Arabidopsis thaliana: one gene and its partner. The protein of the gene in region 2 purifies or fractionates together with the protein of the main gene of each other region. This does not show direct contact. Each region holds a gene or a part of one and is shown on either strand. Other genes may lie near its edges.

What was found.
Region 1: the proteins of AT1G52370 (region 2) and AT5G55140 fractionate together in Arabidopsis thaliana (co-fractionation; one large-scale study listed by BioGRID). This does not show direct contact.

Annotation. Positions count from the first base shown.
Region 1 is NC_003076.8:22,377,964-22,382,694, reverse strand, and holds AT5G55140 (ribosomal protein L30 family protein), read right to left. Parts: upstream 1,700-4,731; 5' UTR 1,583-1,699; intron 1,363-1,582; 5' UTR 1,326-1,362; coding exon 1,134-1,325; intron 1,046-1,133; coding exon 908-1,045; 3' UTR 501-907; downstream 1-500. Other genes in the region: AT5G55150 (F-box SKIP23-like protein (DUF295)), read left to right, coding at 1-420; AT5G55135 (uncharacterized protein), read right to left, coding at 2,309-2,566, 2,656-2,736; AT5G55132 (Defensin-like (DEFL) family protein), read right to left, coding at 3,226-3,401, 3,543-3,609.
Region 2 is NC_003070.9:19,503,324-19,510,793, reverse strand, and holds AT1G52370 (Ribosomal protein L22p/L17e family protein), read right to left. Parts: upstream 4,439-7,470; 5' UTR 4,223-4,438; exon of another isoform or gene 3,777-4,222; 5' UTR 3,743-3,776; coding exon 3,619-3,742; intron 3,413-3,618; coding exon 3,345-3,412; intron 3,071-3,344; coding exon 2,918-3,070; intron 2,812-2,917; coding exon 2,701-2,811; intron 2,574-2,700; coding exon 2,507-2,573; intron 2,382-2,506; coding exon 2,095-2,381; 3' UTR 1,860-2,094; downstream 1-1,859. Other genes in the region: AT1G52380 (NUP50 (Nucleoporin 50 kDa) protein), read right to left, coding at 1-815; AT1G52360 (Coatomer, beta' subunit), read right to left, coding at 5,397-5,600, 5,703-5,832, 5,997-6,103, 6,189-6,282, 6,367-6,563, 6,779-6,850, 6,937-7,051, 7,292-7,408.

The sequences.
Region 1 (4,731 bases), on a different chromosome or scaffold from region 2:
AGCACCTCGCCGTTTCGGTACGACTCTTGCAAGAAATACTTGGCAGAGTCGGATTACGACGAACTGTGGGTGGTCCTAAAGAAGCTGGAGCTTAACGACGATTGTGATTTCGAAACCTCTTTCGAGATTTACGAATTCAATCGCGAGACTAACGAATGGACAAAGGTGATGAGCTTGAGAGGAAAAGCTTTGTTCTTGAGCCCTCAAGGTAGATGTATAGCTGTTTTAGCAGGTGAGAGAGGATTTTTCAAAGACAACTCAGTTTATTTCATTGATGGTGATGATCCAAGTGTAGGAGGATCAGGGCCTCAGAATCTGAGCGTTTTTGAATGGGAGAGTAAGCAAATCATGAAAATTTACCAGCCAAGATCTTGGAATTGTCAGATGTTTTGGGTCACACCAACAGACGTTCCTCAGTGATGAATGACTGATGCATTGTAGAATTTGTAGTTTGCATAGTATAGGTTTTGTATTTCAAATTTCAATTCTTTGATACATTACAATTGTCATCATACATTTTGGTTCTTCATCTGTAACATATATATTAAGTTATGATTATTTCAGCATCTATCTTTCTCTCACTACTTTCATTAATCAAATTGAAAGGTAACTTTTTTGAGAATCAACTTTCACATTCTCAATCTTGAAACATTGGCCACAAAAAAAAAAAAAAACCGATAGATTTGAGATTGACAGAATGAGAGCAAAACATACACAAGTATCCAGTGTATACAAAAAACATAAAGAGGCACCAAACACACTGATACCAACATTTCTTATCAAGCGTCTAGGACTAGTTTACTTCCTGGACACCTTTAGAGAGAACTTAAACATAAGCCGCCTACAATATCCAAGCGGATCTTATCGAACTGACGGTAGAAGAGCTTACCATCTTATGAAAGTACTCTCAAGACATGTTGGATGAATCTGTTGCAGGACTCGAATGACTGACAACGAGAGGCGGGCGCAAAGCTTTGTGGTTGGCTTCTGCTTCTTTACGAGCATTGTACATTTCTTCTGTTTCAACAACAACCATCCTTTTAACCTACATAGAGGCAAAACCAACCATCACAATTTTGAAATCTAGGATTTTATGACAAATGAGAATAGATAAAAAGATAAAGGAAGAGAACCTGATCAATCATTCCCCTAATGGATGAATTGTTTGAATGCAAAACAGTACGATGACATCTACGAAGTCCCATAGCTTCAAGTGTTCGTCTGTGAAGCTTCCTTGTTCCAGGGAGACCTCTTACTAAGGTTATGTACAAGCTCTGGCTCCATTCAATAGGCACTTGTGCTTTGAAAGCTCTAAAACCACTCATTCTTTTTTTTTTTTGTCTCCTTTATCACTCAATCTCTCTGTAACCATTAACAAAATCATAATCAAGCAATCACACAGAATTCACCGTAGAAATCAATAGATACAATAAACGAAGACGATTGATAACATGAATCATGAGAGAGTGAATCATCACGAATTGAAACCAAATCAGATCGATCAATTCAGAAGAAAAGAGGAGCTGCATAACGCGAGATTTCAATTAGGTGTTTGAGATAGAAATGGATGGTTTTCGAGTACCTTGAGGAAACAGAGACGGGAGAAGTCCGGTGAAAGAGATCGTCGACGAGTGTAGTCAAGACGGCGAACAGAGCTCGGAAAATCTTTGAGATTCGCGTTTAAGGGTTTTAAGCTTTTAGCGGAACAATGGTTAAACGACAGCGTTTTGTAGATTAGCTTAATTATTTGGGCTTTATCTGGGCCCAATTATTGGCTCCTTTACCTTTTTATAATTTGTTCAAAAATTACTAGATTGGTTTCATTTTTTTTACATCAATCTTTAGATTTATTAATCTTGCAAAAACAATTTATTTCAGAAAGTGTATGATGAACAGTCAAATTCCACTGCTCTCATCACTAGTTCTAACCTCTAAATTGGTAAAAGCTATTTGCTAGGTAGGTGTATTATTTAAGGTTTTTCTACCTTCTATAAGTTCAATAGCTTTAAATCTTGGGGTTGATCAATATTATTACTAATGAGTAATGATGCATTATTAAAAAGAGAAAATTATCAAAGTAAATTATATTTATACAAAAGTAGTAGCTAAATTACATAACTAAAAGAAATCGGTAAACTTACAAATATTGGTAGACAAGAAAAAGAGAGAAAAAGGGCAACCGTTCTTCTATCCATTACTCGATTTATTATACAAAGTACATGAAGCCTATAATATTACATACATGATACATGATGCATATTATTACATACTACTACTTTACAAGTGATATCTAACAAATGCACATACGTTATATTCCTTTAGCCGTGTTGATAGGCAAACCATCATCATCATCCTCAGGTCTCTTCTTATAATTATAGTCTTTCTTATCTAAAAACGCCTCTTTCACCTTCTCCACATCCGCCTCAGAATCACCGGAGACGTTTACCGCCACCGCAGCTCCGTCAAAAGCCTTCTCAACTGTTTGGCTAGCAACACCTTGTCTTGTGAACTCCTCCGCCGTCGAAGAAGCTCTTCCTTCTTCCCTCCCTCCACTCGCACTTCCTCTCTACATATTAAGAAAACATCTCCAAAAATCTTTGTATATATATATAGTTAATCTATTTCATGAAAACGTAGGAATATCAGAATATATACCTTGAGATAAAAAGAGTAAATACATGATGTTGTTATATTAGGCTTGGAGATTGATTTTGGGTTCACATAATTTCTCAACATTTTTTCTTCGGAGGTCTCTTATTTTTGCAGCTTAGATTAGATCAAGTACCATAGATGAATTTTCCTATAGCAGTTAATTGAGACTTTTGATGTCTCATCAACGGAGGTTATGATTATGATGCCACGTGTGTGTGATGCGCCGTCGTAGCCAAAAGATGACATGTTTCCCAGGGTTAGTCACGACGTCATGCAATTTCCTTTGTAGTTAAATCCAATATACGAAGATTTCTATTTCATATTCTACAGTTTCATACATAACTTTACATGATCGATTTGACAAAATCGATGTCCTAATGACATTAACTATAAGTCGAACCGCTGTCGTTTTTCTTGTGGATTTTATTGTGTACATGTATTGAATTCTTATAAACATTTTGATGAGAGAGATTGGGGGTTGGATCAGGATGAGATTATATCAATTATCATTATATAAATATATGTTTTTAATAATATCTTATGATCGAGAGTACATATAGAATAAGAGATCAATCAATTGATGACCGGACTGGAGATGGGAGAATTAGAATAATTGTTGCAGCAACAAAATATTTTAACAGCCCCGTGAATTTTAGCGCTTTCACAATACCCTCCGCCTCTCATCATGCATCTTGTATTGCATCCTATTGTGCTTTTACATCCTTCCGTACATTTATCTGAAATTAGTCCTATACGATTTTATAAATAAAAAATTCATCAACAAAAAATTTATAAGCAAAAATGGTCAGTTTAATATTGAAAACTGTAGTTTTTTAAGAACAATTTTTTTAAAAAAAATATATAATTTGTATAACAAATAAATGTGTTACCAGAAATCATAGGTATGGTGAGGAGAGCAAACACCATCAACGTAAGTAATCGATGAGATGCAACCATTTTGGTTGTTATTTGTTATTCTTTCAAGATGATTCTATACCTGCTTCTCAAAACCTATTAAAAGCGAATTTCAAAGTTATTGTTATAACAAAAACAAAAATCTAGTAACATATTCTAAATATTTTATATTATTTTTGACTTACCTTTTGTATTTGTAATATTTCAGTACTTATTGAGAATGATTTGTGGTGGTCTTGGATGTACATTTATATAGACATACGTATATACATATATATATATATATGTAAATAATAAATCTTCCATATTATTCAAGGATTTTTTCTTCTTTTTTATAGTCTTATTTGGGTCAGATAATAATTTTAGTCAAAATGTTTCATTATTTATTCTTATCTGTCATTGGGATTATATTTCATTCAAATTTAGTTTATTTTAATAGGTAAATAAATAAATTCGTAAGTTCATGAATTCTCTTAAAAACCCAACCGGTCTACCAATCTGGTTCGCGGTTAAATCCGGTTAATGACAATAAAAATAGTCAACGTACGTTTTGTCCCGTTGACTGACATCGTCTTCTTTGCTGCTTTAACCTCTAGGGTTCTACTATTGGCTCTTTAAACATTGTCGTGATGGAGTCGGACGTCGGAGATTCGTCGGAAATTGTTCGGTAATTGGAAGAGTTAAAAGCTCAAGAAGACAGAAATAGAGCACTTTATTTCGACCCTCGAAGCTAAGCTCCAGGATACGGTGGCAGTTGAACGGTACGACGACGTATACTTTGATTATGATCCATGTTGATCTCGTCATGATGATCATTTTGTCGAGATAGCCGGTAAAGTCTATAGTTCAGTGTTGTTGCCTATCCAAATTTTTGGTTATGATCCGATCAACAAACAGTCAATCAGTTTCAAGGTATCGTCGAGTATCAACTTACACATGCAAGATTTGTATCTACTTGCACAAATCATCTTGTTAGTATCAACTTCTCACAATACATAGAGATTGACAATAAGATATCCAGATTGTGTTGTATCCAGATTACACAAGATATCCTTTCTTCATCTTTTACTACAATCTCGAGAAAAATATTATCACAAAAGTAAGAGTTTAAGCACCAATATTATTTTAAGTGACAAATCCAAACTATGTAGAACATGTTAAACT
Region 2 (7,470 bases):
ATAGAAGAGCTATTGCTGCTTGGAAGGCCAAAGCCAAAGAGAGACCCAGTACCAGTTGAACCATCCTGAGAAACCAAACCAAATGAGAACGAAGACCCTGAAGCCTCTGTACTGGCAAGTCCGGTGAATGCGTTTTTGTTACTTGAATGCTGTTGGAATGAGCTGAAAGCACCATTATCGCCATTCTTATCTGCTTCCTCAATTCCGTTGCCTTCTTTTTCTTTTTTCTCAGCCTGATCACCTCCTGAATCCTTCTCAAGAGGAAAATCAGTTTGGTCTGTTCCTTCAACAGCGTTGTTGCAAACGTTTGTGTCACATGAGACCATCTGAGCTACTTCTGTAGCCGCAACTTGGACATCAGCACTCTTTCCACAATGATTATCATCCTTATCTTTAGTCTTTTCAGTCTCTTCCCCAACAGCATCTTTGACATCAACCTTCTTACTGTCAACTTCATCGCCCTCCTCAATATCACTTGCTTTTTGATTGTCCTCAACTACTGCTTCAGCTGGAGCCAATTTTGACTCAGCCAGAGGTGCATTTGTTCCCACAGGGGTTGAAGCAGGTGCAGTCGTAGGGACCAACTGAATTCCAGCAAATGGATTGGATGCTGCAACTGGAGCAGCAGATGGCTCTTTGCGCTTAACTCTGACAATTCTTCTACTAGCCAAAACCTCATCACTGGCCTTCTTGAAAGTTCCACTCTCAAGTTCAGCTGAATCATCATCATCATCAAGACCTGGATTATCACGAGACAGCTGCTTCAAGGCACCTCTCTTTTTTGAAGGTTGCTGAACGTTTTCCGAGTCACCCATTTGAATTGTTATGAGAGAATGTCAACACACTTGTCAAATACCTAATAAAAAAACACAGACAAACAAAGAAAGTCCAATGAAACAATACCCTTCAAAGATAATAACAGATAAAAATCCAATTTTTGAAAACAGAGATAAAACATTACAATGCAAAACACCGTTCCAAAGGTAAAACACACACACCGGATCAGTTTGCAGCCACAGATGATGATGAGTAATGCCAAATCTAAGAAGACAAAAGCTTTAACATGACAATGCAATGGAAAGTGAAAACTACAGAGGCTGCTCGTTACCTTATGCAAATATCCAGAAAGCCTTAAAATGTATTCAAAGAAGACAGCTAATTATATGTTAACACTCCAAGGTAAGGAACAGAAGAAGTAGGGCTAAACTTAGATATAAGAAATGCAAATACAGTGACTTATAAATCTAAAACCAATGAAAAATTCAACATCAGTGACTTTGTTATTATCCTCAAATCTATAAACCTAGATGAAAAGAGATTTTAAATCGGAGGAAACAAAAACCCAAATTCGATTTTAGGAACCTATCAAATTTAAGAGAAACTCCTGTTAGCTGCAACAATCGAGTAAACCCCAAAGCATCTTCAGAAATTATTCGATGAGTGAAGAAAAAATCTGAAACTCGATCTCAACACGAGTTAAATACCAAAAACCCTAATCATCAAAGCAACTATCAAGAACCAAAATAAAAGAAATGACCGGAAACTATTTCCAGAACAAACAAGAGCATGACAAAACCCTAGAATCAAAGTAGCTAACCCTGAGACAAACCATTTCCGATAAACCCGATAATGAAGAAACCTAAGATTCGAAGAAAGTGACCGGTGACGAGAAAATGGCAAGGACTTACCGTAGCAGGAGCCGGAGCCGCAGCAGTAGCAGAGAGGGAAAAAACTAACGCCGGAGCCAAAGTGGTCAGAGACGAAGAGAGAAAGCAAAAGAGGTTTATAGAGGAAAAAACATCCAGCTCTGTATCTCTCTCTCTTTCTCAACTTTTTTATTTTTATCGACATTTGTGTGTGACTTCAATTATTTTATTTTATTATGCACAAAAGGTCACATTGAAAAATATGTTATTCGTGTTAATTATGTTTACAAGATTACAGTTTTCTTCGATTCATATAAATTGAAAAATGACTTTTCTTTTGGTTCCTGTCTCTGGCAACATATCTATTGAATGGAATAGTAACCAATTACCGATACAAACAAGTACCATAAAAGAGAAGCTCTCGTTACAGTTGCCGGAACAATGATACTTAGTGAGACGGTACCAACTCAGATGACCTGTGATTGCCTTTGGTACCTCTGCGGTTCCAGATTGGACTTGTCTCGATCAACTTGTGTGGTACCAGCTGTCTCTGCCGCTTGTTTAGCTTCTTAAAATTGTGAACTTTCAGCCTTGCAATCTCAGCTTCTTCCTCTGCAGTCGTCTCTCTGACTATGACTGTTAGACGACACCTGGGTATTGATATTATCCCGCTTCTTCCTTTTGCATGGTAAGCTACCTTCTTCCCAAAGAGTCCCTTCCCAACAAACGCTTCCGCTGCATCACACATATCAAAAGAACTTAGATGAATTATACATCCTTCTCTGACATATATCATGTTTCCTTCTTTAGTGTTGCAAAACAAGTCAGTCACAGATCCGGTAGATCAGTAGTATACATACCAACAAGGAGACGGTCAGGATCTAGTCCATGGTTATGAGTAGCATTTGCCCGCGCAGCATGTATAACCTACATTATGAGACCAAGTTGTATGCTAAGTATCATTAGATGAGGAAATGTATCAAATGCCTCGAGAGGAGAGTAGACCAGACACTCTAAAAGTGATTTGTTTCTGAACTCGAATCTCAGAGATTACCCGGTACACAGTTTGTGAAGCTCGTTTGACCGTGACCTGCAATTGCATCAAAGCATCTTCAACACGCATGCCACGGACTAGTGCTGCAACCAAGTTGACCTTCTTAGGACTCTGCAATAAGTAAGGTTTGGGCACATTATATAGCGCATATAACAAATCAAGATGTATACATATCATCTAAAATGTAAAACTGTACTAGGAGTTAGAGAGAACACACCTGCTTTATGGACTTGAGGACAGCCTGAACTTTCTGACGCTTTGGGATAATCTTCTGCTCTTCTTCTTTTCCACTACCCAGCAGAGCTGGAGATGACAAAGGTGATGATACAGGCTCCTCACCCGCCTGCAATTGTCTTGAGGTAGAAATTCCCTGAAAACATACAGATTTAGATCAGAGAAGAATGAAGCAGCATACCCATAGATAACATAGTTCTCCACAGATGAATGGTTTCAGGAGATGTGTCTTTTCGCATAATTCAGATAGATAACAGATGTAGTCATTCCACTAGCACATTTAATCACTTCCCCTATCCCACTAACAACAATTTTGCTATATTAAATTACTAAAGCAAATTTATCAAAGAGGAAACGAGAAACTCCAGTCTCAATAGAAAACAAAAGAAACATCGATTCAGAAGCATTACCAGTTGTTGTAGATGATAATACAGTGGTCTTGAGGAATAGGTTGATCTCAAGAGACTCTGCAAATAACCTAGTTCAACAGCAAAAATTGAAAAAAAAAAAAAATCATCACCCACTCAACTCAAACACACAAACACTATATTAAAACAAAAATCCAAGATAACACCTGACATTTTGAAATTTCACTAAGAACACAATAGATTCAGAAATGATTTAACATTATCTAAACCGAAATGATCAAAACTAAACAGCTTCAAATGGTATAATATTCACCACCTTGTGAGAAAGGGGATTCCAAATTCCGTGTGGAAGAGTAATTTGCCGTGGAAATGTGACTGTCCTTAACTCTTTTACCAACTTGACGAATAACAATCTGTAAATTCTTCTGCCAACCCGCCATTATATTCTACCCTAAACCTTAGTCTATGCTTCTTCTGCAGAAGATGGTAAAAAAACAATCTTGAACAAAATAAGTAGAGCTAAACTTAGATGTAAGACATGCATTAGAGACTTTACTAATAAGTAATGAAAAAATCAACATGAGTGGATCTACTATTCTAAATCTATGTATAAGATTCAGACAAAGGAGTTGCACGAAAGGGACCAATGCACTAGTGGAGTTGATTCAAATTCAAATTGATTCTAGCTTTCAACAATATAAGAACCGAGTAATCAAAGCAACGCACCCATTATTCGAAGAGATTTAAAATTCGATCACAACCCAAATGGGTCAAATACGAGTTAAATTCTAAAAACCCTAACCATCAAAACAAACTGTCAAGAATAAAATAAAGAAATGGCCGATAACTATTTCCACAACAAACAACACGACGAGAAGAAAAAAAAAAAAAAAATCAAAGTAACTGGGGATGAAGATAACCTAAGCTTAGACGAAAATGCCCGGCGAGGAGAAAATGGGAAAGACTTACCGCGAAGGAGCAGTAGCAGAGAAGCGGAAAAAAAAACTAACGCCCTGAGCCAGAGACGAAGAAGAGGTTTAATAGAAGAAGAGCGTCGACATACGTCTCTCAACATTTTATTTAACGAGTTCAGAATAATTTTGTCACATTTTAGTGAAAAAATACTCAACAATTACATATACTTTTAATTTTGTTTTATAAATTTATAATTAGTTACGAGATTATAGATTTCCTTAATTCACATTGTATACTTGAGACTTTTTATTAGACATAATCCTCGACCGAATTCAACAAATCATATTTAACTCAAAACATTCCTATGTTCAAAAATTTCAAGTGTTAGTAGAACATGAGAATAAATATATTTTTAGAGATCAAGTCTTCAAAAGAATTATATATGCAACGATGAAAAGTGAAAAAATCATGTTACAGGCCAGACAAAAGAAAAGGAAAAAAAAAAAACAATCTGATGAAATCTAAGTAGATATTTGTAGGAAAAAAAAAAAAAAAAAAACCATATGATAATAATAATAAACCTCCCTGTGAGTGCAAAAGACAAAAAGGAACGACCACACTTGCTTAAAAACTCATCAGCCTCTCTTTCATCTAAATCTTCCAGTCTCTCCAGCAAAGAACTGAGTCCTACTCGATTTTCATTTTCTTAAGAAATTCAAACTTTTATTACAAAATGGTTTCAAAATGTGGTTCCAGGCTGCTCGGATTTGACCTTTCAATCCTCAGTAAAAGAATGAAAGTTCTCTCACCTCTCTCCATTGTTGCTGGAACTTTCACCATTCCCATAAACTGTAAACTCTACTGACGCGGTGTAAGCACTGCAAAAAACAAAGAAAATCCACATAAGATAAAACAGCATCAGCAACCAATAAAACCCCGAGACACTGTTAGTTTATATAAGAAGATGAAGCATGTATACTCGGTTTTTAAAGCCTAACTCATGTCGCGAAAAAACAAAATTGGTGTTATGTTCCTAAGGGTTGCTATGAAATGCAATGACTTGAAACCAGACACACATCAACGGAAAAAGATGTTAGAAGGCGGCTTTTCGGGGAATCAAATTAATCACCAGAGACAAAATTTTCAGACTTTTCAACATTGGCCTTGACCGACTTGCTATTAGGCTGATGGGTTTCCTTCATTATTCGTACCCCACTCTTCGTCAGCCTCACTTCCATTAACAAGTACAGCTCCATCCGTAGAGTCTCCATCAACAATTCCCTCTTCTTCTTCTGCTTCTTTCTCTTCATGATGCTCCTCTACATGCTCCGCTACATCATCCTCATTCCTTTGTTCATTTCCATTTTCTTCTGCTACTACCTCCTGAGAAAAGAAAAAATAAATCAGTTGTTGCTTACTAAAACACGCAAGATAACTAACAATAGATGTAAATAACTCAGTCAATTGGAAAAGAAAATGGGTCACCTCGTGATCCATATCTCCATTTTCAAGTGATTCCTCTTCCTCAACTTGCAAGTTTCGGAAGGCTTCCACGAGGGTCATGGAAGATTTATCAGCATGGCTAGGATAATCTTTTGCACCTGTGTAAACTCCCCTGTAAATGGAGAACAGACAATTTTAAAGAGAGGTCTGAGAATGTCGCTATCTATAATCCGGAGTTATCACTACGTGGATGCAGTAGGTATTAACGATTCGCTGCTTGATTCAAAAACCATGGAAGAGAAAAGCACACTTGAGCAAAAAAAATGCAGCGATTACCTTGTCTCTACAGCTTTAGCTTCCACAGAAAGAGCAACTTGCCAATCTTCAAAAAGATTTGAGTACTCCTCAGGATCAGCCAAAGATTCTGCTGCTTTTGAATTAACCTGTATTCAAGTGCAAGGTAACTTAAACCCACAACTTGTCTCCTTGACCACATTACACTAAAACCTAAAAAGATTTGAAAGGAACCTTGCTGAGATCTTTCCTCCAAAGAGCTACTATCTCAGAAACTTTGCTCGGAAGATATGATCGTGCCATCAGAGCAGCTTCTGGTATCCGGTTACTGAGGAAAAAATATTGTCACACAGTTAACCAAAGGTGCATAAATTTGATTTTCCAAACTCTCAAGTGACTACTAATGAATTACCTCTCCACCAATAACTGCAAACAATCTTCCAGTTTACCCAGCATGAATAGGCAAAGAAAGGCGACATTGTTCTTCCCTTGTTCTTTAGCAAGTGTTGCAAGTTTTGTTACACCTTCAGCATCTCCCAGAGAAGAATAAAGAAGTAACAAACCACTCAAATCCATCGCATACTTCATGCATTCCTCAGCCATTTGCAGCTGTCATGATGACATAAAAACGGAAAGAGTTAGTTGGAAATCCCCACATCAAAGACAAATCCAGGAGACGAGAAACAGAGATTTTGCTGTTGCTCCCACATTTCTAAATAAATGTCAGAATCATAATGTAAATCATAAACCATTTAGTGGAAAGGTTATTTTGTGTCTCTTATCATTACAAAACATTAGGACGAAATACAAAGACAAATATATACCTTTCCGGAGGACATAGCTAACTCTCCTAATTGTTTCCACTTAGATTCGCTCTGTACTTCCACAGCGATTTCCTACAGGCATAAATTAAAAAACATGTTTAAATATTGCCACTATACAAGAAGTTAAAAAGTATCTTAGTCATCACACATTATATCACCTGTGCAATTTCAAGTCTACCCAGTTGTATGGCCAACTCAAATCTGTAGTCAGGATCTGTTGCAATTTCCAGAGCATCTTCAATCATTCCCCGTGACTCCAAGAAATGAGCAACACTAACAAGTCGAAAATTGTCCGAAAATAAATAAAGAGAGTTGTCCACGAAACACCCATTGATAGGTGTGCAACTATGTTAAACAATAGAGTCAGTAGATCTAGACACAGCATATTTGTAAGAGAAAATAATCATAATATTCCTTCCTAAAGAAATGAAAAACCTAAGACATATCACATAACAAGAGAAGTGCGATAAAGAATGAATCACAAGCACACACAGAAGTTAAGATCTAGCATACCTGTTATGCTGATCTTTAGGAATTGTAGGTAAGATTTCACTGGCTTTGTCTAAATCACCCCGCATCACAAGAGTCTTGTACTCAATCAGGCTTAGCAACAAGGTGTACCCTATAACACTGCATCCACAAAACAGGGGAACAGCATCAGAAACTTCTAGAACAATCTCAATTATATAAAC